Linked DNA regions of Mus musculus: regions 1, 2, 3, 5, 6 and 7 are each reported to be linked to region 4. The links are microRNA targets in miRTarBase. Many come from high-throughput screens and were not tested one by one. Region 4 holds a microRNA gene; each other region holds the end of a gene's coding sequence.

Region 1 (4,287 bases), not on the chromosome of region 4:
TCTAAGGGTATGTGAATGTGTGGACAGGGAGCTGGACCATGAGGAAGACTGAAGGAGACTGTCCAGGGCGGGATGAGCGATTGACCCTAGCTCACTTTCATTATAGCATGCGTGGTAGCTCCTGCAGCTCCCACCATCCGCTCTGGGCCTCTTCCCACCCCTCCTATGCAGGCACCCCTCCCTCCAGATGAAGTTCCCTGAGCGAGACATGGGCTGTATGAACACTGAGACTTTGTAAAGGAACCCGACATTCAACATAGTAAAGCGGTGGACAGTTTATTTTATTGTCAGAAGCTGGAAAACACTTTCCACCTTGCTGTTAATTTTGCATATGCTAAAGCGGGATCCCCTGGAGGCGGCATTTTCCCTTAGCTCTGCACTAAACAGGCCTACATCTGTGGCAGCCTCCAGGAGGCTGAGGCTGAGTCTAAGGCAGAGTATCATATAGGCAATAATAGGTAAAATTTGTCTGTTAGGTATTTAGTATACAGGAGTCTTGCTAAGTTGCCTAAGCTGACCTTGAACTCCTGGGTTCAAGGAATCCCATGGCTTCAGAAGTCCTGGAATTATCAGCACAGGCCACCATACCTTGAAACTTGAGCCACAGCTCCAATACTGGAGTGAGTAGTGTCAATGTGGAGTGCACTGCACTCTGGGGACGGGTGGTATGGACACACAGAAACGCATCATCTCTGCTGCTGTTCCTCCCCTAGGACTTTCCCTGAGCAATTGCTACTTACATTAAAAAGGAGAAATGAATGGCGTATCCACAGCAGCATTCTCACAACAGAGAATGCAGTCTCAAGTTTGCAGAGTTCCCTATCACACTGCCATCTTACACTCACAGAGACCCATTTCCAGGCAAGTCTGGTGTTCTCTGTTCACAATGTGCTTCCTTTATATTCCATATATATGATTTTCATGTTTCCTAACAGTAGTGTCATACTTTCTAGAGATCTTATAGCATACCCACCATGTAACAGTTTACGTAACTACTAATGAACAGCTGAGACACATACCTTCTATTCCTTAAAAACACAAAAACTCACTTTTGTGAAAAATATTTCAAGATTACTTTCTCAAAAGATCACCAAGCCAAACATTTGGCCATACTTTTATTTACTACATATACTATAAACATATACAATACATGCTACAAAAAAAAAAACATTTTTAAAATTTAACTGTCAAGAAAGTGAATAGTGTTATAATACAATGGCACATGTTCATATTTTATTTCAAATTGGTTTGCTTATCACCCATTTCAAACCATTAATAGTGAAATGTTACTTGTGGAAAATTAAAATTATCTATTTGCATTATTAATAAACATTTTCAACAAATTAATAAGAATTAACCATGTCAAATATTAGTATCCAAAAATGGGCTCTTGCAGAAGTGATTATATAAAACATAGCAGCCAATTTCAGTTTACTTTGCTCTGTGACAATGTACATACGCATCTGACTAGGATTATAGCACTTGCTATTTTTGGAAGATATTTGTAAGAAGTCCTTTGATCTCTTGAGGTCCAATAACTGCTACACCCAGCCAAATCCAACCAAACAGTTCACGTAATGGCTCTGAATAACTAATCACTGAGGAGTTCGTAGGCTTCACGGAGAGCTGCAGATCCCATTCCCACCACATATAGTGAAGAGACAATACAAGCCAGCATCAAAGGCAAAAGAAAATACCAGCATTCAAATCAGTTGTGACGATGATTTTCTAAGAAGTGTTTTCGATGCCATAATTTCAGGAACAGATTCTTTTTTGTTTTTGTTTTTGTTTTTGAAACAAGGTCTCACTTTCTAACTCCTGACTGTTCTGGAAGTAGCTCTGTAGACCAGGTTGGTCTTGAACTCAGAGATCCACTTGCCTTTGTCTCCCAAGGGCTAGGACTAAAGACATTCACCATCACACAAGGCTTAGGGAAACAGGATTGACTGTGCATTTGGATTTACACAATCTATGCTAACTGAAAAGTGAAACAAGCAGTCAGGTGCAGTAAGTCACGTGCTACAAACCTGTCCATTCAGTATCACTGACCACCTATTATGAGCTCAGAACTGGGCCAACATCTCTAAAGTTGAGTATTACTGTTTTTATCAAGCTACAGTGAGGTAAAAAATGTATTAAATTAGCATCAACTCATTAAATCTGCCTGTGGTAATGTATGCCAACTGGCGTCCCTGGGCCATACAACACGCTTCTGCACTCTGCTCATTCTTTCGTACAAAATCTCTACACACGTGCTCAGCAATGTGCTAGTCACTTCAGTCACATGATTTGGTATATGTTCAATGAATGCAAATTCATCATATTAATCTACACAAGACAACTAAGAAGGTAAATTATTTTTCTAAAATGAGGTTCAAAGCAAAGTATAAGGTGTTTCTATTGGTCACCTACACCAGAGACCAGCAAGTGCCTTTATCACCTGAAAGTCTCATGTTACAGTCTAAAGAAACCCTATAATTTGTGGCCTCAGAGGCCTAGTCTCTGGAGCATCTGACCTCGTATAAATCATTCTCTACTTTAAAGGGTTGTAAACTAAATCTGGACAAAGGAGAACCCAAATGAAGGCAATTTATAGTGTAATATACTTCACCAACTATTAAACCATGTAAAATGATACATAAGTAATTTACGACTGGAATAGTTTTCAAAGTATCAATCCTACCCAAATGCATAGAATTCTAACCTGCCTTTTATACAACTTGCACATGATGCAGAGGGCAAAGTTTGGCCCTTGATACCTTCTATAGGATACAGTAAGTGATTGGTCCTTCCACTCCAAGTAGAATCTGAGAACTTTGAGCATCCCATTAGGATACTAGCAATCAGGAAAAATGGCCCTGCCAGATCTGTCCCATCAGTAAGGTGAGTCTTGAGCTGTGGTAGCAGTGTGAACCTACGATGCCCCCTTGGGGGAAGGCAGAGAGCTGGGAGTTTATCCACTGAGTGAATCCAATACTGGCTTAAAGCTATGCACTGAATAAAGTGCTCTGTACATCCTGCTTCTCATCTGGAATGAAGATATACATTATCCTAAGAATCAAGCCACTTATAGGTACAGGGGAGGAGAGTAACAAGGAAAGAATCCAAGAAAAATCCAAGGAAGACAAATGCCTCTAGTAGTGTTCTCAGAATCCTCAGGATTTGAAATGTCAGAATGAGTCATACAATGGTCATGGTCCATAAATGCAAATGCAACCCCACTGGGTAATATTCACACAGTGCATGATTACGTCATGGGAGTGGGGAACAGTCTGCTGCCACTTGACAGTATGGATTCAGGATGAAAACAGAACCTCTGAAGAAATCAGGGTCAGCAGTGAGTAACATTCTTTTCCTGCCCATCAGCTTTCCACAGGTTGATCTGTTTTGCCCAAAAGAAAGGAGGCAATGTATTTACGTCTTCTCATACAGGCACGGCAACTACCACCTAAAACTGCCAACTCAGAAGTTAACCACATAAGCCCTCCGGTTTCGTACCCTGAATATGGTAAATACAAGTGAGAATGGAGTAGTTCAGTCTTAAAAAAGATCCCAGGTAACAGAATGCTTATATAAACTAGACTGCTTTGACACCTGTAAGAAAATTGTATAGATGGCAATTGGGGGGAAACAGATTGTTCCATCTGTCAGCAAACTGTCGAGCTATACTCAGCTGAAGTCCTCATCGGGATTCTGTTGATCCAGCAGACGGACATGTGTGAATGGGAAGTGACCTCGTTTGCCATTACACTCCCCTTCCCACTGACCACTCACATTAATCTTCGTAACCTTTACCAGCTCACCGACCTGCAGGACGAGAATAAGGAGAGTACTTTATTTCCAGTTAAGAATGCAAGGTGAAAATCTCCATTCTCTGTTAGGCACACCCTGCCCACGTGATTGCTCTAGGGCTGATGTTATAGAAATGGCTACTCACTACCTCCCCAGCCCCAGCCACCAGACTGGTTAACTTGTGGTTAATGCAGGCAAAAAGAAGGAGTGGTGTTAGCAATGAAGAAAGACACTGAGAATACAGAAAGTAAGAAGGACCCTAGAAGATGATACTCTCTGCAAACCTCAGCATGTCTAGATGAGCTAATAGTCTCCTCTGTTCTACGATCCTCAGCCGCCCCCACCACACCCCACATCATCTGACTTAGGGGATTCAAAGCCTAGCCCTCCTTGGCAGATGTGGCAGCACGCCTGGCCCTATCCTAGGACAACTCTCTCTCATGCACACTGTGGCTGCGGCTGCTGGCTCAGCAAAAGGCGACCACAGCAAGCATG
Region 2 (4,287 bases), not on the chromosome of region 4:
CCACTGTGGAGCAGCCTCTGTGCTGAGCCACAGCTTTGCTGGGAGCCAGTGGCTGCTGGAGGAGCTGTTTAAACAAGCCAGCCAGATAGAGGATTGAGTAGTTTGCATGTAAAATCATTTTGTATAGTCCAATCTGGAGCACACCTCCTGCCTCCTTCAGGTCTGTGGTCTGGAGCAATGGCAGTACCTGTGGAATACATTCACACACACACCCCTCCAAGAATAATCTCTGAGGTTAATTATGAACGTAGAGTTAAAGAGGCATTGCCAGGAGTAATGAGAGGAAAACGCACATCACCACAGGCAGATTTTTCTCAACTCAATTTCTAAATTGAATCTTTTTTTTTTTTTACAGGCTGCAAAATACAAGCTGGCAGCTCTGCCTGTGGCAGGTGCACTCATCGGAGGAGTGGTAGGGGGTCCCATCGGCCTCCTCGCAGGCTTCAAAGTGGCAGGAATTGCAGCTGCACTTGGTGGTGGGGTGTTAGGCTTCACAGGTGGAAAATTGATACAAAGAAGGAAACAGAAAATGATGGAGAAGCTCACTTCCAGCTGTCCAGATCTCCCTAGCCAAAGTGACAAAAAACGCAGTTAAAGCCCAAGCTTCCAGCTGCTGCTGTGCACCGAGCTAAGGAGCAGTTGCTGTTGCTGGAAGTGTTAGGAAGTGGCTCTCCCTGTCCATGCAGTGTTGAACCACCATGAGTGGATGTGTTTGTTAGCTGGGTGTTAATGGAGATTTTAGAGGTGGAGGAGCCTGGCCAGAGGGTGTCTGTCAGGTCAAGTTTAAAGACTGCCAAAGAGCAAAGGTTAGGCCTGGAAATGTGAAAACTGGATCCATAACTAAGGATCTAAGAAGTGTAGACATGTAGTGGACACCTGAGGTCAGTGTATTTGTCAATTATTTCTTCCTATAGGGAGGAACAGAATTCGAGTTCAGGAGTCTCTGTCAGGTAGGGATGTTGCCGCTCAACAGGGGGCACGGGTGAACTACTTGTGGACTTGAGGGCTGTTGTACTTAGACCCATCTGTATTTTCTGGGGAAGGAAATTAACACTATAAAATAGAAAGAGAAGCCCATTTTCTCTTTACAGTTTCTTCATTGTGACATGGGTGTTTTTTCTGAAGTCTTTCCTGCCTCTCCAGATAAGGAGCACAAAACCTCAATGCTAGACCTACTAAACCAGCCACCAAGCCCATTTCCAGCTGGTGATTCAGATAACTGTCTATTCTACTCTTCTGATTCCTACCCATGTTATAAGGATTTTCCTCATAATCTGCCTTTTTATATAGTTTTCCACTTCTAGCTACCCCTACCTGTAATCTCTACAATCTCTTTAGTTGAAAAAAGAAAATTTAAATATTTCCAACGTTATTTAGGTTAAGGGGAGTGAGTACAAGATCATATCACAGGGCACTTTAGAAGGGGCTGGCATACCTGCTGCCTCCAGGGATTGCCGCCCCTCAGTCTTCTTGGGCGTCCAAGAAGGAGCTTTCTACCTCACATCTGTCACTGCTGCCCTTTCCCAGGCCGTCTCCCCTCCTGCCGCTGTCCTCGCAGTGGTCACGCTTAACCTCTCTCACATTCTAGATGGGAAAACTCATGATTCAGACCCAAGGAAAGATCTGTGGTGCTAACCCAACAGTTGGCATGCACAGCAGGCATGTCCACTTCAACTCCGTGTCTCTCTCAAAACAGAAAGGTTTGAGATTCAGAAGAAAGGAATAGGAAGAAGCCACTGGTCCCGCAACTCTCATCTCTTCCTGAGAAGAGTGCACCAGCAGCCAGAGCACAGGGTCAGGGGCCGAAGGGTTACCTCTTAGCTTCTTTTAAGTGCTGAGTTGATGTTTGGCCTCTGTGGGTTGCTACCTTTCCCTCTGTGTTATAACTTCCTTCCTTCCCTTCAATGCTTTGTGAGTCTTACCAGTGCATCCCTATGAAACAAAGAACTACACCGTATTAAAAGATCGGAAAGTATTGAGTATTTATTTCTTATCCGCTGTCTTAAGACTTTAATAACAAACAAAATTTGAATAATTTTCGGATCCTGAAATATTGCCAAACACACTGGGCATTAAGTAATTACTTTTATTGTCATCCTTTGTTCTCTGGTTCTTGCTGCTCCTTTAAGATAGCATGTCAAACCTGAGCAGGGGGCATTCAGAATGCATCCAGATTTTACTTCAAATAAGATTCCTTTTTGTTTTGTTTTATTTTTCAAGATGTTTTCTCTGTATAGTCCTGACCTAGCTGTCCTGGAACTCTCTCTGTAGACCAGGCTGGCCTTGAACTCAGAGATCCATCTGTCTCTGCCTCCGGAGTGCTGGGATTAAAGGTGTGTTGCCATACCCAGCTAAAACAAGATTCTTGAACTTTGGCCCCGGGGAAATTCCGATACAGCCAGTCCATCCTGATTAGCTAGTATTGTGAGGATAAGAAGTGTTGTTTAATTCTTTAGTCTCCCATGGTCTACTTCATCTTCCTCATTACTTAATACTCAATTCCATGAATCCCCAAAGTGCCATCAGTAAGTGCCATAACAGCCTCAGCACATGGAAGCCAAAGAAACAGGGCTGAGGCTTGGATATGAAGCTCGCACCCTTGGGACCGCGCATCTTCGCTGAGCCAGTGTGGGAATGTGGGAACCATCGGCATGTTAATGAACCATCAGTATTGGGCTTTTGACTCTAGCCACCGTAATGGTTAAGGAAGTTACAGTCCTCTTTAAAATTTCATTATACTTTAAAGTTATTGAGAAATTGTTTTTCATTTCTCCACAATAGAATCCAATAGCCAACTTTTTGTGGAAATTTCTTAGAAGTGTTTAATCAACTATAAATGATATAAAAGTACTTAAACGTATAAATTAGTCAATATGACACAGAAATGATCTTAAAATTGAATTTAATATGCCCCATAGTGTCTAGTTAAATTTATCATCTCTATGATTTATGTCTTATTTTTATTTCAACTAGTTAAAAAGAATCATTTTAATGTCTTAAAATTTGTAGAGACTTCATATTAGTATAGGCAGTCCCCCTAAAGACTTTTTGATGTTATAATCTGATAATTCCTCTGAAATTTTGATGTAGCCCACAGTAAAAAACGTATTAGGATTGAACGTGTATCCATGAAAAATGTTTACCATTGTGTGCAGTACATTCTGATGTTCTGTTTCTTCAACATGCTAACTTCAACCCACAAAACCAGTCTCAGTCTACAAATGGATTACCACCCTCAGTTTTCAGAAAACACCCTTCCCTAAGGAAGAACTGGTGTTTCCCAAGCAGTTTGCCAGTTATTTATGGAAAGGGTAACCGGGCCTCAGAGGAATTAAGTAATTTGCAGTCTTTCCATTCATTCCAAGGGCAGGAAGCCTGGATGGAATGGGTTCTGCTGAGCCACACTCTGCCATGCTGTGCTGCCTCCCTGAAGCTCAGAGACTTGTAAGGCCAGCAGGGGACAACCCATGCTGTCCGTTTACTTCTTTGTCTTCTGGCCTCATCGGGTGTCCACAGCCTGTTCTTAATTGTGGCCATGCATAGAACACAGAGCTTAAGTATAAAATGAACACTGCTATCCCACCCTATCCTCTACACATTGGTTCATATCATAGGCTATGATCACTGTTCAAAATGTTTTATATAATTAAAAGTAAACACTACTTTTAAACAAATCTCTCATAGCATTTAGAATCAATTAATCATTATGCTTTAAATGATGCCCCCGGGAAGCCAGGCACAAACGGTGGGGGGCAGGCAATAGCCTATTTCTGAACATCTGCTTTTGGATTGCCATCAAAAACAAAATTGCATGTTAAATAAGAAAAGCCACATCCAGTGTGTCGGCCTCAGACTGGTTTCCCATACCTTGTGACCCAATTCTCTCCCCATCTCAATTCTGTGTCTTCTGTTGGCTTACTCCTACCTCACACACAGGAGCCTAGAATGAAGCATACTGAAGCTGCCTAGAACTCGCCAGACCTCTGGAGCACGGACTGGGGTTTACCCGAAACTCCTACCTAGCCACAGCTGTCCTGCCTGTCCACCTTCCGTGTTCATGTCTTCTGCAGAGTGAGGACTGGAAGCTGGTAACACCTACTGATAACAAGAAGTTTGGAAACACAACTACAAATCTCTAGCACACAGTATTTCCTTCCAGTAAAAGTCCAGAAGCCAAACCTTTTGAGTTGTTAGAAAACAAAGGCATTTCTCAAGAATGCCTCAGAAGCCCTTCACTGATCACATGGCCTCTGGAGAGAGGAGTGAAAGCCTGGAGCAAGACCCTCC
Region 3 (4,287 bases), not on the chromosome of region 4:
TGATCATGACCAGACAAGCAAAAACCCCTCACATTCATATTTGGACACTCGTGAAACAGGAACTCCACCCAAGTCATACAAAGCACCAGGCAACAGCCCCTGATCCTGGCTAGTCATGGCTGCTTTCCTACAGTGGCAGCAGCTTCTAGCCTCCCTCCAGTCTTCTTCCCATGTTCGTAAGAATTTTAAGATGTCTGCCCAAAGATTCATTCCTGCTTCCTATCAGCTCTTGGTCCTGGGCAAGTCCTTACAGACTGTGACCAAGCACAAGAACAGACCCTCTGAGACTTAACACCAAAACATCTCAACAACGACCCCAGCAAGCCTTCATGTGGTGGGTCCATGACTTGACTTTGGCTAAAGGGAACTCTCAACCTCCTTTCCTGGGTTGTGTCTGTGGTGGCCCCAATTCATGGAAAACTCAGAGTGGAGAGACAGAGAGAAGCCATGGAGAAACAGTGGTTATGCATCACTTCTGTGACTGACAGACTAACCAAGGGACACTCTCTAACCAGATTACATGCAATATTCTATTCCCTTCTTCCAAAAAAAAAAAAAAAGCTCAACAATGCAGAAATAAACAGAATTATCCTATCCATGAGCACACAGGCACACACATGTGCAAACAGCCATTCGCTAACATGAGGCCTTGTAACTCACTACAACTAATAGGTACTATCAAGGGACATAAGTTAGGCAAAACCCTACAGTCACACAGACGTACAAGCAAGGCCAGGAACCAGAATTCTGCTCTGCTTTCCTGGATGTGACTGGAACAAGGTACTTACACTGAGCCCCTGGAAAGCAGGGCACACAAGGAGCTGCGGATGGTGGCAATGTTACATGGCAGTGCCTGGCAACAGGACACATTCCAAGAGAAACCCACTTTCCTTCCTCACTGTGGGCTCTGACTGAAGCCATCCCTGAGTCGGTTCTACCCAAGTCCCCATGATTTCCCCCACGGCATCCTGCCATGACTACAAACCTTTCCCAAAAGCCAGACTCAAGGCCTTAGAGATGGCTCAGGGGTATGCACTGTTCTTGCAGCGGGCCCAAGTTTGGTTCCCACATCCTAACACCCATACCACCCAGCTCACAACTACCTGCAACTCCAGGCCAGTCTCCAATACCCTTTTCTGACTTCTGCAGGCACCAACATTCATGTGTACATATTCATACACAGAAACACAAATACAATTTTTATTTTGTTTTGTTTTTTGACAGTATCTGTGTAGCTCTAGCTCTCCTGAAACTCACTAGGCTTAAACTCAAGAGATCTGCCTGCCTCTGCCTCTCAGTGTTGGGATTAAAGGAGTGTGCCACCATACCTAAGATATATAAATATAGCTTAAATATATTAAATAGTTTTAAGCCAAACTCCAACTTGTCCTATGTGCCCAAGATAAAGCAAAGATACTAACTGAAACTGGCTTAGCTCATTCGTCACTTAAAAGATCACATTTAGTAATCTAGTGGAAAAATCTTTCATTTTAATTCACTCTTTCATCAAAATGTATCTCTAGGCTGCCCATTGGTGCCTACCAGGTATTTTGTTTTTCTCTATCAGAAGAAAAACTTCACATTGGCATTCAAATACCCTAGTTCCGGCACAGGTGTCAAAGCCTGTGAAACCAACAGGAAATGTGTATGTGAAGTGGAGCAAACAGGTGTTTCTGAAATTGTTTATCCACACCACACTAATTGTTTGTTTTGAAAACTGACTATCGAATTTCTTATCTCATTCTGCACAAAAGTTGCTGACAAACCGATTAAAAAATAATAACTCCTAATACCAACAGCCGAGGGAGAATGCCTTTCTTCCTTTGCTTGCTTGTTTGTTTTTTAGACAGGGTTTCCCTGTATAGCCCTGGCTAACCTGGAATTCACTGAGACCAGGCTAGCCTAGAACTAATAGATACACCTGCCTAGGCTGTGATTAAAGGCATGTACCAGCACACTGGGCTGGATAATGTCCGTTTAAACCTCAGACCTGGCTAGCTTTTATTCCGAGACTTGATTAAGCAAGAATCTGGACACCAACACATGTATGTAACAGAGTTCCAACTTCAAAGCAGAAGGTAAACTGAAAAGCTAGCTGACTGCTAAGTATCGTGCAGTTAGCATGGGAGGAACCAGGGCTCACTGCACCGGGATGTGTGACAGGATGGACTCGTAAGGCCTTGTCAACCATCACTGAACTGGCCACGGCCTGCCATCCTCTGGGAAGTTTTTTCTAGGCACTCAGCTCTTTACTAGGCAGTTTATCTAAACTAGAGACTCGGGGAAGCGAGAAAATTCCAGTCTCTTCTAATGCTTAATTCCCATACAACCCAACAGAGCAGCTGGGAGTGAACAGGCCTGTGCTCAGCAATACTGCCCTCACCCAGACAGAGAAAACTAACTCCGCAGCAAAGGTAGGACACGCGAGACCTTGTTCACTAAAGGAGATCGTCTGTCAGAAACAGCAGGAGCGTTTGCCTAGGCTGTCTCGGGTTCCTGGAAGGATCCCACGCATCGAACATAAACTGAGCAAAACTGATTCCCATGAGTGCAAACTCGGCAGAGAAGACAAAGGATCCAAATGGCACAGTAACGTTTATTTCAACCTTCGAACAGCACAAAGTGACAGCTTCTGATACCAAATCATACAAGGGTCATCGGAGGAACAAAACGATATTCACATAAAGAAAACATTCAAACAACAAAAAGTAAGTGCTTCACATCTCAGACAGTGCTGTGCACTGCCAGCAGGCGCTTCCGCTTCCACCGGGGGCTTCCAACAGCAGCAGGAGCAAAGCCAAGCCAGGATCCAAGAGAAGGTGCATTCTCGCTCACCTGGAGTTTGTACCCACGTCACTACAGCCCCGCTGCTCCATTCACAATTCCCTACACCTGATCTTAAAATGTAACTAAGATTTGGGAGTGGTAACAATGAAAACACAAGAGTGTCACAAGAAAGTAAACAGTAAACAAGGTTTCCCATAAGGCATCAGGAGACCTGCACCAGCTTAGAAAAACGTTCTTTCTCAGCAAACCCAAAACTTCAGAAGGTTAACCAGCAGGTCCAGTCAAAGCTTTCAGAGACAGTCCTGATCTCTTATTTTTATTTATACGTTTTTTTTGTTTTTGGTAAGGTTTCATATAAAACATAAAATCAAGTTCTATTTTATAAAAAAACTGAATATTTTAATAGTAAAAATATATATATATTTAAATTTCTTTTTAAAAAGACACATAGCAATACTTCATAAGACTGGATTTGACTACCCCCACCCACCCACCCATGCCAGCCGTCCACTCTGGCACTGTGGACAGCTACATGAAGGTACATTAAGGCAAAGGCTCCTGGTGAGGCGTGTCCACTGTGCCTGGGCTGGAGACTCAAGGTGAGGACCCTGCTCCTCTCAGGGCTAGAAGGGCTTCTCCCGCACGTTCACTGAGCCATCCTGCATCCCAAAGTAGACTCTCTCTGCCATGTTGATGAAAAGGCCTGTGTCCACCACGCCTGTAGAATGAAGAATAGGTGCGTTAAAGTCCAGCTTCCCAGAACAAAGCAAGCATCAAGTGTTCCCAGGAGCAAATATCACAAGCCAGCAGCGGACAAAACACAATCTGAAAGAAACCGGGGTTTTCTTTGTTCCTTGCTGGCAGCTCTTCCGTCTACTACATCATGGCTTGCTCTGTGTTCCCAAATGTGCCAGCTTCATCCCAGCCCAGACCCTCTGCTCACGCTGCTCCCCTCGCCTGCGGCTCATCCTCCTCAGTGTCAAGGTCGGCTCCTCTTCATCCCCCCATGTGCCTGCTATAGAGACCCTCCAAGGCTATATCACTCCTCCCAGGTATGGTCAGTCAACTGCCATCCTTGAAAGGCTTCCTCCAAGTGGGAGATGTTCACAAAGCATACACCTGACAAAGGAGTCACATCAGAATACAGTTCCTAAGCCACTAAGTAAGTGACAACAGAAAAAGGAGCACAAGACCTAAACAAGTACTTCTTAAAAAAAGCAAAGCATTGAAGCTCACTAGTGACAGGGATGAACGACTGACACTCAGTCACCACGATGAGTAAGGGCAGGCGACCAGAATGTGGAGGCACAGACAGGAATATCCCTGAAGCCTGCTGGCCATCGCCCAGCTCCTGGTTCAATGAGAGACTCTGACTCAAAGAAGAGAGGACACATCTGGCTTCTGCACATACATACATGGGTGTACACACATGTGCTTGCATGCACTCATGTACACATGCACACACACGGTAGCATGACTATATCACCATGCTGTTTGCAC
Region 4 (4,287 bases):
GAGGAAGGACTACTCCTCTAGGGCTGGAGGCATAGCAAGAGTCAACAGACTTCACCACTGACTACAGGATAAAGAGAGGTAAAAAGGTGACAATTTATCATCCACCATCGATGTTCCAAAGGACAGCAGGGAGGAGACAATGGGGCATGCCACGGAGTGTCTGAGTGTCCACTCCTGTGTCTCTAGCTGCCAACTCCTATACAGCCATCAAGACCCAGCTCAGATAGCCCCTACTTTGGGAAGCCATCCCTGTTGCTCTCAGAGAGTACTCAGAGAGTCCCTCTGGGTACTCTCAACCCTGGGGCTAGCACAGTATCAGATCTTTGGAAATGGCTGGCTAAGTTTGAGAGGTCTGGTAGCTGAGGGTGGATATAGAGGGGCTCTAGGGGTGTTTGGTCTGCCTAGGTGCGTCAATGGAGGTGTGTGGATATGCAGAGTTGAGGCAGATTGGGTTCAGGACGGGAGCTGGGACTCGGGGGATTCATTATGGGGAGAAGGCCAGGACATCAGGGTCAAGGTATCCACCCACGAGGGAGGCCTTTGGTGTCTGGTCAGGTAAGACTAGGACTTTACCTTCCTAAGCTAACACTAGCTGAGGGCTGACCCTCACCCCACTACCACCACCTGAATGAAGGCTTGGGGTCCCTGGAAGAAGGGTATATGACCATTTGGCCCAAGATTAGAAAGCTACATCCACAGCCGTCCCAATACTGTCCCAAGGGAGGCAGGCACGAAGGGACAATAGGCCAGGAATTTCTCAGATCTGGTTAGGACCACAGGCTGAGGGACACTGGAAGCCAGTACTGTGCTCTGAGACTTGGAGTCATAGGGTCTGTTGTTCCACTCATGTGGAGGGGCTTGGGTGTCCAGGGCTTGGGCCACTAAGGGGCACATGGAAGATGAGGGGAGGGTACTGTTCACTACCCAGAGCAGCTCTTGCTGGCAATGTTTCATGCATGCAAACGTGTCAATGTGTGGTTGGCGATCTCATGTCCTCTACGGCCAGTCTCCGTATTTCCAAAATGACCAAAGACCAGTTGTAAGTTCATGACAGAACATCCTTTATTTATACCCAGGTCCCACGTCATAGCCCCCACCCAATCTGTGGCTCCATTTAGCTTGCTGAGCGGGGGCCTCCATGTAGCTGTGTCCCTGGGCGCCTCAGGGAAGGCAGTAGGTTGTATAGTTATCTTCGGAGGGGCAACATCACTGCCCTGAAACCACACAACCTACTACCTCACCCTGCGGTGTCCGTGTTCTGGAGGAGGCCCAGCCGCTCCCCACCCACCCTGGCCACAGGCCACTAGAGCCATAGGGCACAGGGCGGGGTGGGGGAGGGGGAAGTGGAGACAGAGGTTCAGTGAGAAAGGCCTGTGCCTACCAAACAGATTGAGGAAGCCTCTGGTGTCTGAACCCATTGCCCCAGGGACAGGGGACAGTGGCCTACACGGTCCATCTGCAGGCTGTACTCATGGGTGTGCTAAGAATGGCTCCTTTTCAATTTCTTCTCGGAAGAGACGCTTGCTCGTCAGAGGCCTGACCCTGCGCTGGAAAGCCTGGGCAACTCTGGAACATAGTTGAAGGTCTAGTCCAGACCCTCTTTTCATGGAGACCTGTGAGCACAGGTCTGATATGGGGCCAGGGGCAGGAAGGCCCCTTCAGTGTGGGCCAGGGAGAGAAGGTGCCCTGAAAATGCTGTCTGTTTTCATCGCTATGCCCCAACCCTTATACAGATGAGTAACAGCCCAGAGAGGTCAAGGGACTATCCAAGGTCTCTGTCAGGCTCTTTTTGCATGGTAGTTATCACCCCCCTGTCCCTCCCTCAGTCTCCCCAGCCAGGGCCGCCGTTGTATCCACTGCAGATATTGCGGCCACTTCAGGAAAGACAGTAGATTGTATAGTTACCGCAGAGCGGGGCAGAGCCCAAAACCATACAACCTACTACCTCACCCCAAAGGCCGTCAGTCAGTCTTGGCGTAGAGCTGGATGTTGTGGCTTCTTGAGGTCCCTCCTAGAGGAAGAAGGAGAGCTGGGGACATGGTGAGCCCCACCCCCCACCCCCGACACAGGCCGCTCAGTGCTGAGGGTATTAATAGACTGGGATTTTCTCAAAATGGGCCAGGGACATTTAAACAAAATCACAGAGAGAGTAAGGGGAGACGGGGAGACGGGGAAACGGGGAGAAGAGAGAGAAAGCACGGGGCACTGAGCACAGGAATGGCCACAATGGGGGAAGGGTGTCATTTGTTAAAGGCCACCAAGGTCCAGGGTGCTTCCAGTGTCCACCTGGCTGAGACCCAGCCTCTGTCCACTCAACTCTAGCGTAGTAGAATCACCAGGACTCCTGCTAAGTAGTAGCCTTGGGCATGTACCCTCTTCCCCTTAGGCAGGAAGAGCCCCCCCCTCGTGGGCTCTGGTTCTGTCCCTCCCTCTTCTCAGGGTGGCCTGAGCTGACCTTGCTGGGGGAGGCTCAAAACAGTCTTTCCTTGTGGGAGGCAGCCTAACTCCCCATGGTGGCCAGCCGGGCGCAAGTGCAGACCCTGGCTGGACACTCATGGCCAGTCTGTCCCTAACGACTAGCACTTCCAGAGGCCAGCAGAGATCGCTGAAGAAACTGAGGCTCAGTCTCTGGTCTCAGGTAGCTCTGCTCTCAGAAGGGAAAAAGACCTGCTTCTTTCAGGCCTCAGACCGGTTTGCCCAGCATGTGGAGGGAAGCCCTGTGCCCAGACCTAGGAAGCCAGGCAGCTTTTGCTCTCTGCATGAGCCCTAGCGTCTACTGTCACGCCTCCTTTCCTCTCTGCCAAGGGTCAAGGGACAAGTCCAAAACTCCTGGGTCAAAATGAAGCCGTTAGGTCTAAGTCCACATTGTGGCCCCAGATCCGGAGTCTATGGGGCAGAGGAGCTTAGGAACAAGGTTCCCAGAGCGCTGGTGTGGCCTGGCCCGTGGTGGGCAGGCCTGTGATGATAGGAAACACTAATCTTCCAAGCCCCAGAAGGAAATCTGAGCCACTGGGGTGCCATCCCCTGCCTCAAGCCTGGACCCTTTCACTAACAGGCAGGTCAAATACCCTCAAGGATGGTCCCTGCAGAGGCAGCAAGGCAGAAGAGGCGTGGGAAGAGAGTGGTGAAGGGCCCCTTTGGTGATCCTATCTATGATGGGTGGCCCAGGTGAGAAGGCTGAGGGGTGTCCCACACTGCTTAGCCTCTCTGTAGGCTTGACTGGCCATGGTTAATCTCGTCGGTTCTTAGGCTGTGCCCGGATGTGGTGGAATAGCTAGAGACCACATTGGTCATCTCCATCTGAGCCCAGCACCTCCCTCCCCCTCTCCGCCCCCAGAAGCACTTTGAAGGAGGAAAGAGGTCAGACATCAACCCCAGGTCTCTCAACACTTCGGGTTCTGCCCTTGGCTGTCAGGATACAAGTACGTGGGCAGGTCTGGCTGGAAGGTCGAGACTGGCCCCTCTGACTCTGGGCACCATCATGCATTTCCGTGGGGTCCTTTTGGCTGGCCCCTGGGGATTCTCAGCCACTCTACTTAGCAGCAGGAGGCCGGTGTATGCCACTGTGTCAGCCCCAAAGCGCCTTTTCTGCACTTGGTGAGCCTCCCTGAATCTGGGCTTCATTGCAACAGAAGCCTTGCAGAGCCCAAGCTATGGTAGAGAAACACCAGGACACAAGCACCCTAGTTCTAGCAAGGACAGTGGGCCACCACGCACTGTGCCTTAGCCCAACACGGGAACAGATGTGCCTCTGTCTCCCTCATCTGGCCTTTCTCTAGGCAAGACCTTCTGGCAGATCCTCCATTGATACCAAGTGGCCTGGCCTGGGGGAAGCAGGATCACACTGGGGGGATTAAGTGATGGTGCCCGGGGTACAGAGAAAAGAGAGGGACCTCATGCTGAGGTCCCCAGAGGTCTCTCAGGGCTCGGTGACCTTGTCCTCAGGTTGGGAGGCTACGTCTCTTCCACTTGGAGCTGGTGATGAATGGAACTGCACCTCTGTTAAGCCATGCCCAGTCTAAGTAGGCCGATACGGGGTCAAAAGTCACCATATCATATCATGGGTAGATGTGTCATCTGGGGTAGATTGCTGGGGGGTGGGGTGGGGCACAATACTGAGGGCAGGGGTTGGGGGGAGCACAAAGCCTCTAGGTAAAGACATCTAAGCTGAGGGCAGGTCCTGGAGCACTGGCAGGGATGTGCCTCTGACCCTAGCCTTCCTTACTCTCAAGTCTCCCTACTTTCCAGAGGAAGGACATTGGGGCCCTACTTACCACAGGGAAGCCA
Region 5 (4,231 bases), not on the chromosome of region 4:
TTTTACAAAGCAGGAATATTTTATCTTTGTCATATGCATGCCATATAAGTTTTAAAGAAAATCTGGACGGTTTTGTTTCATCTGTTGTTTTTTTTTTTCTTTTTCTTCAAAAGTGCAAAGTCAGAGACTAGACATACTGAAGTTGTTAACGTCTGTACTTTGCTGCACCATGTGTGCCCCAAGTAACTAAAGTTGCAAGTATTGTGAAGGACAGTCTGCGTGCACCCAGATGGCCTTCAGCTTATACTGCTCACCCCGGTCAGACAGACCACCTCTCTTAGGAGTGTGGTGGGCAGCAGCAGTACTCACCTCCTTGAGTGGTACAGCATGTGCCACTGCCATAGCTTCCTCCACTGGAGAGGCAACAGAGGTTACCCCTAGGGTTTGTCTGGTTTTGAACAGGATACTAACGTAGCGTGTCAGTGTTTAGTTGATAGAAAGCAAAGCCTCTGACGCTGTTTCGTTAAGTACTGCTGCTGTGATGCTGACTCAGACTGCAAAGGACAAGAACCCAGTGCCCACAGGGTGATGGTGATGAGCTTCCCTCGGTAGTGTCCTAGCTCATCTAAGGCTTGTTTTATTTGCTTTTTTTTTTACAGACCTAACTACCGTAATGAATGCTGCATATTGAGAGACACCACAAGAAGGTTAACTGTTTGATTGTCTAATTCTTGGATTTGGATTTGATATGAACCAACGGTCTTTGTTGTCATTGACAGAGCCCCAGTATGTGTGTGCATTAGTCACATTCCTCTCTGTTCTGTTGAAGGAAAAAGAGACATTTTAACCCTTTTAAGGTTGACTTTATTTTATGTTATTTGGTTGCATGAAGTTGCCCTTAATCACTAAGAATGATGAAGATTTTGCAGACTTCTCTGTGTCTAGGCTCCTTTTCCAAGTCATCAGCTTCCTGCCTCTCTCCCACCATCATCAGATACTCAGCTAAACAGTAATTCATATTGTTAGGTGACTGCTCAACATAATACTTCAGGATGGGATTTTCTTTGTAGCAGAACCCAAGAACCAACTCCTAGATACATACTGTTGGTGTATTGGAGATGAAGTTAGAGTCATCTTTCAGTTTTAAGGCCATGTGTAAAGTTTAACCATATGTACAATACCTATTCTGTATTAGAAATAGCTAGTTGAAACTTAATACTTCTCAAAACTCATGTTCCTGTGTCCACAAACTAAGTTTATATGTGAACTTACTGAGTCTTTTTGTGTCATACCAAAATAAAGCAAGGACTTATTTTTTTTCCCAAAGCCAATACAATTTGAGCCAATCCCTCAAGATGGTCACTTTACACTGAAAGCTGAGCTCAGCAGGAGCACTGTGGGAAACAAAGCATTGACTCTTGAGTACAGAGTTTAAAATAGACTTTTCTTTTAGAACTAGAATTAGAGTAGTTAACGTTCATCCGCCAACCATTGTTACGTGTGCATTACTGTCGCTCTTGTGGTGATAGAGTCTTATTTATTTTTATGCCAGCTTATACTGTGAGAACTCATTAGTCAGTTTGGGTCTCATCAACCCTGCTATGCTTGTCCTTGGAAGATCTTTTGTGTGTGTTTGAGGTTTGTAGCTGAGAAGTTTACTGTAAAAAAAAAAAATCAAAAACAAAAAAATGTATTGTTTTTACAGAATAAATTTATTGGAATGTGTACTGGGAGTAAGGTTTGAGGTTATAAACAGCCGAGTTAGTGTTATTTGGCTTCATATGTGTAATGTGAAGTATTAATGTGTTTCTTGTATTATAGCAAAGATTGACAGCAAATTGACATTAGAATTAAGTGCAGGTGAAAATTTTATTTTTTCTATCATGTTTCTTTTTAAGTATTCTGGATGTTAGGTTAAGTGAAAGCCGTGGGGGGACAGGAGGGAGCAACAGCAGGAGCTGCAGCAGCAGGGGCTGTCTGCACGTCTGCGACAGCCCAGCTCAGGGGACCCTGCATTTACACACAGCCTTCCGTGCATCCAGTTTGCTTTTGGTGTTCTTACTGTGTTGAAGAACTAATGAACGTGAAGAGAAAATAGAAGAAGACCTAAGAGCCCAGTGTCGTTGTGAAGATGGAGGTGATGTGGGGCTCTGGATGCACTGGTCTACTCACCCCTCCCTCCAGGACATCACTGTCCTTTGGGCTTGCTCCTGCCGGTTAGCAATCAGTGGTCCCCTGTTGTGCTCACGCAGTTCCATGTATGGAAAATTCATTAAGAGACAGGCTGTTAAGTCAGGGTTTTTTCTTTAAAAGGTACTTTTTAATTTTAAATATTTTAGTTTAAAATAATGAAATTTGACAAAAGATCTCTTCATTATCATGCAAAACATATGGAGAATGTAGATAGCATTTTTAAATTGGAACATATAACAAAGGTTTTTTTGTTTGTTTGTTTGTTTGAGGCAGGGTTTCTCTGTGTAGCCCTGATTATCCTGGAACTCACTCTGTAGACCAGGCTAGCCTGGAACTCAAAAGATCAGCCTGTCTCTGAATCCCAAGTGCAAGGATTAAAGGCGTGTGCTACCACTACCTGGCACAGATTTCTTAAATAAAAAGTTCAAAATTTGTCATGAAAATGTATATATAAAATGCTTCAAAATTAATAAAGTTTATCTTCATAAACACCAAAAATAATTTTATTGAAGGTATACACAGTATTGAAGGTATACACAGAAACACAAGAGAAATATTATCAACCAATAAAACAAGTGTTCATTAAGGCAACTAATAAAGTTGATTTGTGTCATCTTAGCTATTCAAATTCACAATAGAAGTTTTGACAGCAATTTTTAAAATGGCAATAAATAATATGCTTTCCTTGTGAAAACACTTGAATCAATTTAAAAATATTGTGATGATCTGGCATTTATATTAAGATTGTCAACAACTCATACATTTCATATGAAGCCATTTCTCCAACCTGCAATTGCTGTTTTGAATTATTTCTTATGCATAGTATGGTTAGTTACTTCTGAATAGTTTCATTTTTATGCTTTTTGTAGGCACTAGAGTTGTAATTTTCACACATACTATGTGCAAACAATGCTAAAATCAATGGTCACATTCATAGACAAATGGTGATATATTTCCTTAAAAAAGCTGTTTCTCAACTTTAATTTTCTTTCAAAACTGAGAATATACCCAGATACTACCCTTAGTTTCACTCACATGTATGCTGCAGAACAAGTGTGTTCTTGTGAGTATTCCTGTATGGAGGGGATAAAGGAGAGCGCCAGTCCCATTAACAGGTCAGAGAGAACTGTGAGGTATGTTTGTTTATTCCAACTTCTCATCTGCCTTAGTTCTTAGGAAGAACTCGGGATTGTAGGTACAACGGTAGGCCAAGAGCTGAGGAAGAACTCCATATGCTATGTTTAGTGCTAGAAAAAAGATTTTCGCTTCTTCGGGGACTCTGTAGACATAAGCAGTTCTAGCATGAAGGGACGCACCAATGTGAGAAAACTGAGCCTGTTTATATTAAAACAAAACAAAAAAACAGTAAGGATGAGCTCTGTTCACTTGGATTAATGATGAATTCTGAGTGTCTCATTCAGACCATGTGCCCTCAAAACCTGTCTTAAAGGCAAAATACCTTTAGGTAATCCAGTCTTAATATATAATCTTTCACTAAATTTAAGGTTGTTCTTGATATAAGTATTCAAATAATGTATCCTTCTTAAAGTGTGATTTTATTATTCCAGTTGTGTATTTTTAACCTATCCTGTGCCAAATAACAAACAATACTGGCTCAATTCAACAACAACAACAACAAAATCTCCCCCTCTTTCTAATTTGAATCTTAGGAACACTAACTATATAGACACTCAGCAAGGTCTCACAAATTGGGTTTGAATTACAAATGAAGTTGGGTTTTAACATTTAAGCTGTAATTAGTATGAGGAGCTACTTTAGAGAGAAGCACTAAGGGTCTCAGACCAACCACTGGATGCCAGAGCTCAGAGACCATCACATGTACTGCTTATTCATCCGTGTGTTTGGTTTTATGTAACTTAATAGCACTATGATTGTTTGTAAGGTAAGCTTGTTAATAGCTTGGCTGTGGATAGCAATATGATTATAAAATGGCAAATATATACACAGGCAGCCTTTCCAAATCAGACTGAAATCTACTTAGAATTGTGACTGGTCAGCATGTTTGAAGTTTCAGAACAGAACAGCAAGGGCTCCCTCTGTTTACATGGGATAGTTTATAAACTATTCAGAATGTGCC
Region 6 (4,237 bases), not on the chromosome of region 4:
GGACCAGTGTGCCGACGCGTCCATCGGTAACGTGACCGGCTCCAATGCGGTGAACGTGTTCCTGGGCCTGGGTGTGGCCTGGTCGGTGGCAGCGGTATACTGGGCGGTGCAGGGTCGCCCCTTCGAGGTGCGTGCAGGCACGCTGGCCTTCTCGGTCACGCTGTTCACCGTCTTCGCCTTCGTGTGCATCGCAGTGCTGTTGTACCGGCGCCGGCCGCAGATTGGCGGCGAGCTGGGCGGCCCGCGGGGACCCAAGCTGGCCACCACCGCTCTCTTCCTGGGCCTCTGGTTCCTCTACATTCTCTTCTCCAGCCTGGAGGCTTACTGCCACATCCGGGGCTTCTAGGGCCCTAGCCACCGCCCTGAGGGTGGGGACTTGGTGGCATTTGCTCTTGGACCCACCAGTCTCTCTACCCAGACTCAGCCTGGGCGCTCCCTAGGCTCTTCCTCCTCAGCCTTCTTCCTGGGATCAGCCTCCCTTTCCCCCTGGAATCCCATCCTTTGCCCTCCCTTCTCAGCTGCATCCCCTTCAGCCCATCCTTTGTGAGGTAAACCCGAGTCCCCTGGCCAGACACTACTTCTCGGTCTTTCTGGGCACCGAGCCTGATTCTGTCTTCTCGTGTCCCTCCCTCAAGCCACGAACTTCCACCTGTGCGCCCAGGTCTTAGAACATCTCCCTAGGTACCTCAGAGGGAGGCTGTGCCATCCCAGGACGCCATCCATCTCTGCCCTTAACCACCCCAACCCTCAGGGAGCTCCCTTGCAGTCCCCAGGGAAAGGAATAGGGGTTTGTGCGGGGAGCAGGGAGAAAGGCACGCACCTTCCCTGATTTATCCACTCAGAGGCTTGGAGATGGAGGAGGGACGTTTGGAGTATCTGTCCCCCAGGCTTAGCCAGAGGAGGCACATCTTGAACCCACTACTTCTGACATTCCAGCGCCCTACTCACCCTCCACTACCTCTGAGAGCCTAGCCACGCCTTGGAGGGAGGAGCCTGTGTGTGTATATAGTGTGTTTGGGGAGGGGGGACACGGGAGGGTGCATGTCTTGGGGAAAGGGGCGTTGACAGACTTTCCCTTCTGAGAGGGCAGCAGGACTCACTCAGCCTGAGAACCAGCTTAGTGGATGAGACTGAGACTCAAAGGGAGCCCACCTGACCTCCCCTGACAGTATTCTAGAAGGGTTAACGAAAGTACTCTAGTCTAGAAGGTTTATTTTGCTCTCAGTGCCAGCCAATCTGGGCAGGACCCTCGAAGAGGAGACCGAGGGTCCCAGAGGACCAATGCTACAAGCCAGCAAATGCTGCCACATCTCTGCCTGTTGGGGGGCGGGGGTGGAGGGGAGGGTGGGAGGGGGGCTGGGTGGGCATTTTTAACTTTGCAGGCCATACATCTGTTGGTAGGCCACCTGCATTTTCTTACTGTTGATGTCTCCTGCCCCAAAAAAGACATCCTTGGGGAACGGGGAGTGCTGCCCACTCCTTGCGACCTTAGGTGACCCTGCCACCCTCACAGCCTTCTGCTTTCCCTAAGTTATTATTTTTGCATTTTCTTGTCCATTTGTGCATCAGACCCATTACCCACGGCCCTTCTCACCCCTTGCTCATCAGCATCACTTGATGTCCCTTCTCTGTGGTTTCTGTAAAAAACTGCCATAAAACTTTGAAATTCTGCCTGAACAGTCCTCCCGTGGGAAGTTGGGGTGCAGGAGGAAAGGGATGGTAGCAGCTCCGACATCTAGACCACAGGAAACAGACCCGGCAGCCTTTGCATTAGAGTTGGCCAGACAGCAGGACACCAGCATACGCTAACCACATTCAATGTTACCAGAGCCTCCACCAGCCACAACCATAACTAAAAGCCATAGGCTTCTGGTACCACGCCTTACCCATTAGCCAAGAGCATCTACTAGTTTCACCCCTGCCCATTAGCCATTGGTTTCTAGTACTGATGTTCCACCCATCAATCATGAGCCTCCACTAGCCACGCCCCTGCCAAGCAGCCATAGGTTTCTAGTACCATGCCCCACCCATCAACCAAGAACCTAGCCCTGGTTGCCACGCCCCTCACAGTCCTGAGCTTCTGCTGGCCACACCCCACTCACCAGCCACAAATGGTTCCTCTTCATAGGATATTGTGGGATTGCAAAAGAGAAGGACTCTAATTTGCCTGAGCCAGAGGGAGCTGAGGTTGATGAAGTTTCCTAAATAAAATAGGTCACTTTCTCAGAATCATGCATGGAACAGGAGGTGTGTGTGTGTGTGTGTGTGTGTGTGTGTGTGTGTGTGTGTGTGTGTGTGTGTGTGTGTGTGTGTTTTCATAAGGGTGGATTATTCTAGGGAATGAGTACAAAGTTAATGTGTACAGACGTGTGAGGCAGTGGCTTTTTCAGAGTGGGACAAAGGATGAGCAGAAACGAAAGACGCGCTTCCTGCATGGAGTGGGGAGCAGAGAGACCTTCAGAGGACCAAGTGTAAAAGCCGGTAATAGCCACACAAGGAGGCTTAAGATTTAAGAGCAAAGGGCTGCTTCAGAAGAAATTTAGAAGGAGCAGGCCAGCAGATGATGTCAGCTGATTTATATAATTTTTTTGTTTTGTGTGTATGTGTACTTTGATTGTGTACGTATGTTCATCATGTGCGTGTAGTGTCTGCGAAGGCCAGAAGGGGGCTTTGGATACCCAGAACAAGGCAATCGTGGGCCACGCAATGGATACTGGGAACTGTACCCTGCCGGGTCAATGTTCTTAATCTCCAAGCCGTCTGTCTCTCCAGCTCCTGATTTATAATTTTAAGCATTCCTCATAGACTCCTGTGATATCAGCGACTTCCTGTGATATCAGAGGTTGGAAATCAGGAACTCAGGCAGGAGAAGAGGAGTGGAGGCTGGACTGGGTGTTGGAAATCAGGTCACAGATCAAGCCAGTGAGAAGGCACAGGAAGACCTATCGGCTGGAAAGAGGTGGTGACTGAGGGGGAATTTAGGGAAAAGACCTTAAAGTGACTCGGGTAGGGACAGGGAAGGTGCCCATGCCACCACAGGGCTGGGTACAAAGGAAGCAGCTGCCCTCCCTGGACACAAGATGAGCAGAGGCTGCAGTGGCCCATCGAGCTGCTGTGCTGGGGGTAGCATGAGCAACACAGACACATGGAGTGCCTGAGAGCAGCACTAAAGGATGAGCGAGCACACTAATCTTACCCTCCAGGTCCCACCAGCTCCTGTAGCCACGGGCTCAAGCCAGCGCCTGTCAGTCTAGAATGAAGAGAGCAGGAGAGCACATGGTGGCGGGGGGGGGGGGGGCTGTCAAATGCAGAAGAAACAGGGGAGAGAAGTCTAGGGTGCTGTGGCCCTCAGAAAAGGAAACTGCAGGAGAGGGGGATCTGGGACTTGTCAGCAAGCCAGGACTGGCATAGGCTGCCCGGGGGAAGAACAGAAACAGTGCCTCGGGGTATCTCCAACATTTAAAGTGTGCATGGGTGAGAGAGATGAAGGCAAGGGAGACACCAGAAGAGCAGAGGGAAACCCAGGTGGCAGGCAAGTTTCCAAGATGGCATGCTCATGAGGAAAAATCTGGCGTGACGGATTGGGTGAAGGGCTCAGGGACACTCTAAGATGAAACCATTAGCACAGACCTGCAATCCCAGAACTCAGAAGGCAGAAGCAGGACTGAGTTTCAGGCCAGCCTGAGCTACAGAGTGAGTGAGACCTTACCTCAAAATCACAGTGGGCTGTGACTGCATCTCCTGTGGTAGAGGGCTGGGTTCATATGCATGAAGCCCTGGGGTCAATCCCCCACATCACATAAAATCAGTCATTGTAGTGTGAGCTTGTCTTAGGGCTTCATTGCTGTGAAGAGACACCATGACCAAGGCAATGCTTTTTTTTTTCTTTTTTTTTAATGTTTTTCGAGACAGGGTTTCTCTGTGTAGCTCTGGTTGTCCTGGAACTCACTCTGTAGACCAGGCTGGCCTCGAACTCAGAAATCTGCCTGCCTCTGCCTCCCAAGTGCTGGGATTAAAGGCGCATGCTACCACTGCCTGGCTAAGGCAATTAAAGAAAAAAATATTTAATTTGGGGCTGGCTTGAAGTTTCAGAGGTTCAGTCTGTTATCATGGCAGAAAGCATGGCAGCGTGCAGGCAGCCATGGTGCTGGAGAAAGAGCTGAGAGTTCTACATCCTGATCCCCAGGCAGCAGGAGGGACTAGATGTGTTTCACACTAGGTGTAGCTTGAGCATTTA
Region 7 (4,287 bases), not on the chromosome of region 4:
GAGCAGCGGTTTGCTATTGATGAGAGGTCAGGTGTATCATAACCAAGCCGTGGCTTTCTGAGATGGCTGAATACAAATCTCCTTAAATTGTATGAAGTTGAATGTCAGAGGCACAGCCTGATTGTCAGACTTACAGGAGGACACTAGGAATGGTAGGAATGCATTGTCGTCTGAAGGATGAACTGACATGTATGTGTGTTATACTTTTCTTTCTGAAGGAAGTTGAAATTCGAAATAAAGACCTGGAGGGGCAGCTGTCTGACCTAGAACAGCGCCTGGAGAAGAGCCAGAACGAACAAGAGGCTTTCCGCAGTAACCTGAAGACACTCCTAGAAATTCTGGATGGAAAAATATTTGAACTAACAGAATTACGAGATAATTTGGCCAAGCTACTGGAATGCAGCTAAAGAGAGTGAAATTTCAGTGCCAATAGATGGAGAGATGCTGTCTGTCTTCCTAGGACTGTTTGGGCTCCGTACCAAGATTGCACAAAATTTTTTGAATATCATTCCTCCAGGAGGAGGGTGTTTTGAAAATTGGAATTGTATATTTCAGTATAAATTTTAGAATTTAGCTTATAGCTAGTTGGGGAAAAAAAAAGACATGAAAAACTTGAACTACAAATTACCTCCATGTATATTGGCCATAGTTAACTGGAAAGTTATAAGTAGACACTTTAATGCAATCTTTTCCCCCTGATATTAGCCAATGGGAGAATTAACAATGTCTGGGTCCCTTCTCCTCTTTTGTTCAACACAGTGAAGATTATATGCTTTTTAAATTTATTTATGATATCTACAGCTGTGTTTTGTGCAAAAACTTAGTAATGGAAGCCCTGTCTTTGTTGTTATCTGAATAATTTCTCAGGATAATTTTTCGCTGCTGAGAAAGGGCCATTACCAATTAATCCTTGCCAGGAGTTGGGGAGCTATGCCTCTAAGTGAAACTCACTATCAACGGGTGTCTGGAGTTCTTCCCTTTTTGTACTGAGAGTGTTTTCACTCTAGTGACTACTCTGGTACACTCTGCTATCTCCAATCTTGTCTGTTATATAGTTTACTTTTCCATATTGATTCCATGTATTTATGAGAGGATACTGTCTCCCAGTTTATTATACATTTTAAAGCCAACTAAACAAAGGCAGCTGAGTCCCTCAGATATTTTTCTTTTTAAATTTATAGTAAATTTGACACACAGAACTGAAATACAGCAGTCCGTCCTTGACGGTTTAGTCTAGCAATGTTAAGTATATTTACAGAAAATATGCAGTTACATTTATTTATATATTTGGCAAGAAATCTTTTCTGAGTGATCAATGCATTTCAATTTATGAAAAATAATGGTTAGGGGGCACTGTTTATTATAGATAATTTTAAGGTATATAACTGTTTTCAAGGACGGCCACTTCCACCTAGCGGTCAAGCCGAGAGGACTGCATCTAAATTGTGACTGTGGCAGATGGGTCTTCACAGAAACCATGTCTTTATTCAAACTTCACAAGGCTATATTTTGAACTGTTAACTAGGCATTTCAAAACAGGAGATACCTTCAACAGACTCTTCTCCAAGAGCAGGTTTTACTGTTTTTTTGATGTAATTTTAAGACATTTAGCAAACATGCATTTCTTTATATGATACATTTCTTTCACAAAACAATTTAAAAGTAAGCCAAGTGCTGCCTGCTCTGCGAGTAGGAACTGCATCAGAATCGTGTATCTTGCTGTACAATGCCTGTGATAGTGAAGAGGGTTCTTCTTAGTGTATGCTTGGGTACCTAACTCTGGAGTCAATGAATGCACCCAATTTTTTTTGTTTGTACCCCAAATGATTGAATTGTTAAATACAAATTAAGCAGATTAACCCATCTTTCTCACTCAAACAGATTCTTTAGTATGTTTTATATTTATGTGTATGTATGTCAATACATACATACTAATTTATATTAGAATGAAAATAAATCGTTTGTTTCTAAAGGTAGTTTCTACAGTAAGGTGTCTCTGACACATGTGTATCAGACACTGGACCACCATGTATTCTCTGTGCTATTCCATCCTGCCTGTCACCTCCATCAACCTTAGGGTATTTCCCTCACCTGTCTATTATAGAAGGAATCTTTTGGGTACACATGCTCAGAGATGAGATACTTCTCTGAGAAATCAGGTAATAAAATTTATTTGATGGATAGAATTTTGAAAACATATGATTTTATCTATGAGTTTCTGAATATCAAAGAATACCACGTTTTCATTTAAATAGAGGACTAACACTAGGGATCAGGGAATTTAGTTATGAAGAGTTTCAAAAAAAATCCAAAAAAAAAAAAAAAAAAAAAAACAGTGTAAGCTGTTGATATGGTAAGCGAATTATTTTAATGATGTAATAAAATATTTTTAAATTTTGGCATAGTGATCATTTAATGGGAAAATAACTCACCAAAATGTCTCCACTTGAATTGTACTGATAATGTGAGGCATATGTGTAATTCAATATATACATATACCTATATGTATATACAGAAATTATTTTTAATATTTTCCTACTGCTGTGAAATTTAAAATTGGAAAATTTTGTGAGTGTTTTCCATGTCCAATAGAGCCTAATTGTTTCTTTTTTTAGTAACTTAACAATCTCTTGAGGGCTGCACCTATAAATTCCCAGCTTGTCAGTAGACATGTACAGTGTTTGGGATAAGGTGGACACAAGTGCACATATAAATAAAACCTTCTTCTTGACTATTTTAAACCTTCACTCACATGAGGAGAGCCTCTAGAAATCATAGCCTCTGAGCTATAGGTACGTCACTCACACAAGGAGAGCCTCCAGAACTCATCGCCTCTGAGCTATAGGTTGTGTGCCTACTGTAGCTTTTCCACCGCTGTATTATATAGACATTTGCATATTAAAATTTGATTTTTCCCAGAGATAAATATTATATAGTGTATCTATATTTAGATCAAACTGTGGTAATATATTGATCAGAACATAGTGTTGGGGACTATAGCCTGAACATGTGGACTTGCAGTGACCCAGGAGGAGAGCAGGGGTCAGTCCCATCTGTGTATAAGTTATTATAACTATGAAATCTTGTACAAAAGCAAAAACTGGAAAAAAAACAAAAATACAGTTTTTATTTTGAAATACATTTGTTCTCTGGAGAATGTACTTGATCGTCTCCTCAGTCTTCTAAGGCTACTTAAGCGTTTAAGGGACGGCAGCGTTTACTTCAACCCTACAGGTGCTACTGGATTCTGCATTAGTATGTGATGTTTTAAAATCCTAACTTTGACATAAAAGGTTTTATAAGTATTTCCCTGCCTGGAAAATTAGTTTTTATTCTTCTTTCTTCATCCCCTTCTCTCGCTCTGCCTCTCTAGACTTAAAAATGAACATTCATGACATTGCATTGCTCCTTGTCCCTAAAGGAACTTTGCAGCACCCTCAGAACTGCGATGCTCTGTTGTCTTTGGACGTTGGGAGCAGTTAGGGGAGGAGCTTGTCGCTTGTCTTTTCAGGTGACTCTGAAATGGTAAGCTACCACATGACCTTTAAGAAGCCATTGCTTTCCTCTGTTAAGATTGCATTATCCTTCAGCAGGTAAGCCTCCACCTTCTGTGCTGTTGTTTGCCTTTGGAATGTGGTTTAGGCTGCATCTCTGGATGCTGGGACTCGAGTAGGAGGCAGGCCGTGGGAACACTTGTGAGTTATTTTTCTGAGCCTTGCATATGATGAATACCAAATAATTTTAACATTTGAAATTTTGTTCTTAAAGACCAAATAGACTTCGTTGATCTTTTGTCTCCTGTGTGCATTAACATAAACTTTTAGGATTCATGAAGTAAATTAACATCATTTCTTTTTCTTTCATGGTGCTTGGGGTCAAAGCCAGGCAGGACCTAGCACATGCTAGGCAAGTACTGTGTCACTGAGCTACTTCCCAGCCCTATATAAACTCACAAAGAAGAAAAATTTCAGGTAAGAAATAGTTGAGTTTGAAACATTCTTTTAAATCTTTAATAGGATACACGCTATATGACTACTAGTAGTATTTGTTAAGAATTATTTTTTTAAAAATTTAGACTCACTCATTCTGTTGTCCTCAAAACAACAACAAAAATATGTTTTAAACTGGCCATCAGTACTCCCACTTTTAATCCCAGCATTGAGAAAGCTGAGGCAGGAGGACTGAGAGTTGAAAACTATCCCGGGCTGTATACAGTAAGACTTTGTCTCAAAAATAAAGAAAAATAAATTTAAGCCTAATAAGCAGGGAGAAACTAGATCACTGACA

What was found. Region 4 holds the annotated microRNA mmu-let-7b-5p (UGAGGUAGUAGGUUGUGUGGUU, at 1,219-1,240, opposite strand). A microRNA usually pairs through its seed, bases 2 to 8, with sites in the 3' UTR of a target mRNA and lowers its output. Matches are read on the target gene's strand: a 7mer-m8 pairs with bases 2 to 8, a 7mer-A1 pairs with bases 2 to 7 and ends in A, and an 8mer does both.
Region 1: the mRNA of Crk is a reported target of mmu-let-7b-5p. Seed matches in the 3' UTR shown: 7mer-A1 at 2,120-2,126.
Region 2: miRTarBase lists Stx17 as a target of mmu-let-7b-5p. Seed matches in the 3' UTR shown: 8mer at 1,494-1,501 and 8mer at 3,922-3,929.
Region 3: the mRNA of Rpia is a reported target of mmu-let-7b-5p. The part of its 3' UTR that is shown has no 7-base or 8-base seed match.
Region 5: miRTarBase lists Hdgfl3 as a target of mmu-let-7b-5p. The part of its 3' UTR that is shown has no 7-base or 8-base seed match.
Region 6: the mRNA of Slc8a2 is a reported target of mmu-let-7b-5p. Seed matches in the 3' UTR shown: 7mer-A1 at 683-689 and 7mer-m8 at 955-961.
Region 7: the mRNA of Homer1 is a reported target of mmu-let-7b-5p. The part of its 3' UTR that is shown has no 7-base or 8-base seed match.

Annotation. Positions count from the first base shown.
Region 1 is chr11:75,702,886-75,707,172 of GRCm38, reverse strand. Crk (v-crk avian sarcoma virus CT10 oncogene homolog) reads right to left here. Exons shown (of 3, transcript NM_133656.5): 3 at 1-3,807. The coding sequence ends at 3,670. Among named protein-coding and RNA genes, the nearest start is that of Crk, 26 kb to the right of the region's middle.
Region 2 is chr4:48,181,144-48,185,430 of GRCm38, forward strand. It overlaps Stx17 (syntaxin 17), which reads left to right. Exons shown (of 8, transcript NM_026343.2): 8 at 356-4,287. The coding sequence ends at 595. Among named protein-coding and RNA genes, the nearest start is that of Mir1958, 30 kb to the right of the region's middle.
Region 3 is chr6:70,763,144-70,767,430 of GRCm38, forward strand. Rpia (ribose 5-phosphate isomerase A) reads right to left here. Exons shown (of 9, transcript NM_009075.2): 9 at 2,577-3,505. The coding sequence ends at 3,411. Among named protein-coding and RNA genes, the nearest start is that of Rpia, 27 kb to the right of the region's middle.
Region 4 is chr15:85,704,278-85,708,564 of GRCm38, reverse strand. It overlaps Mirlet7b (microRNA let7b), which reads right to left and starts at 1,246; the gene lies at 1,162-1,246. It overlaps Lncppara (long noncoding RNA near Ppara), which reads right to left. Exons shown (of 2, transcript NR_110483.1): 1 at 4,275-4,287; 2 at 1,041-2,011. Mirlet7c-2 (microRNA let7c-2) reads right to left here and starts at 1,962; the gene lies at 1,868-1,962.
Region 5 is chr7:81,882,452-81,886,682 of GRCm38, reverse strand. It overlaps Hdgfl3 (HDGF like 3), which reads left to right. Exons shown (of 6, transcript NM_013886.4): 6 at 600-4,231. The coding sequence ends at 605. It overlaps Tm6sf1 (transmembrane 6 superfamily member 1), which reads right to left. Exons shown (of 10, transcript NM_145375.4): 10 at 2,604-3,468. The coding sequence ends at 3,277. Among named protein-coding and RNA genes, the nearest start is that of Tm6sf1, 26 kb to the right of the region's middle.
Region 6 is chr7:16,158,835-16,163,071 of GRCm38, forward strand. Slc8a2 (solute carrier family 8 (sodium/calcium exchanger), member 2) reads left to right here. Exons shown (of 10, transcript NM_148946.3): 10 at 1-1,677. The coding sequence ends at 346. Among named protein-coding and RNA genes, the nearest start is that of Meis3, 14 kb to the right of the region's middle.
Region 7 is chr13:93,401,823-93,406,109 of GRCm38, forward strand. It overlaps Homer1 (homer scaffolding protein 1), which reads left to right. Exons shown (of 10, transcript NM_147176.4): 10 at 219-3,307. The coding sequence ends at 407. Among named protein-coding and RNA genes, the nearest start is that of Gm6109, 44 kb to the right of the region's middle.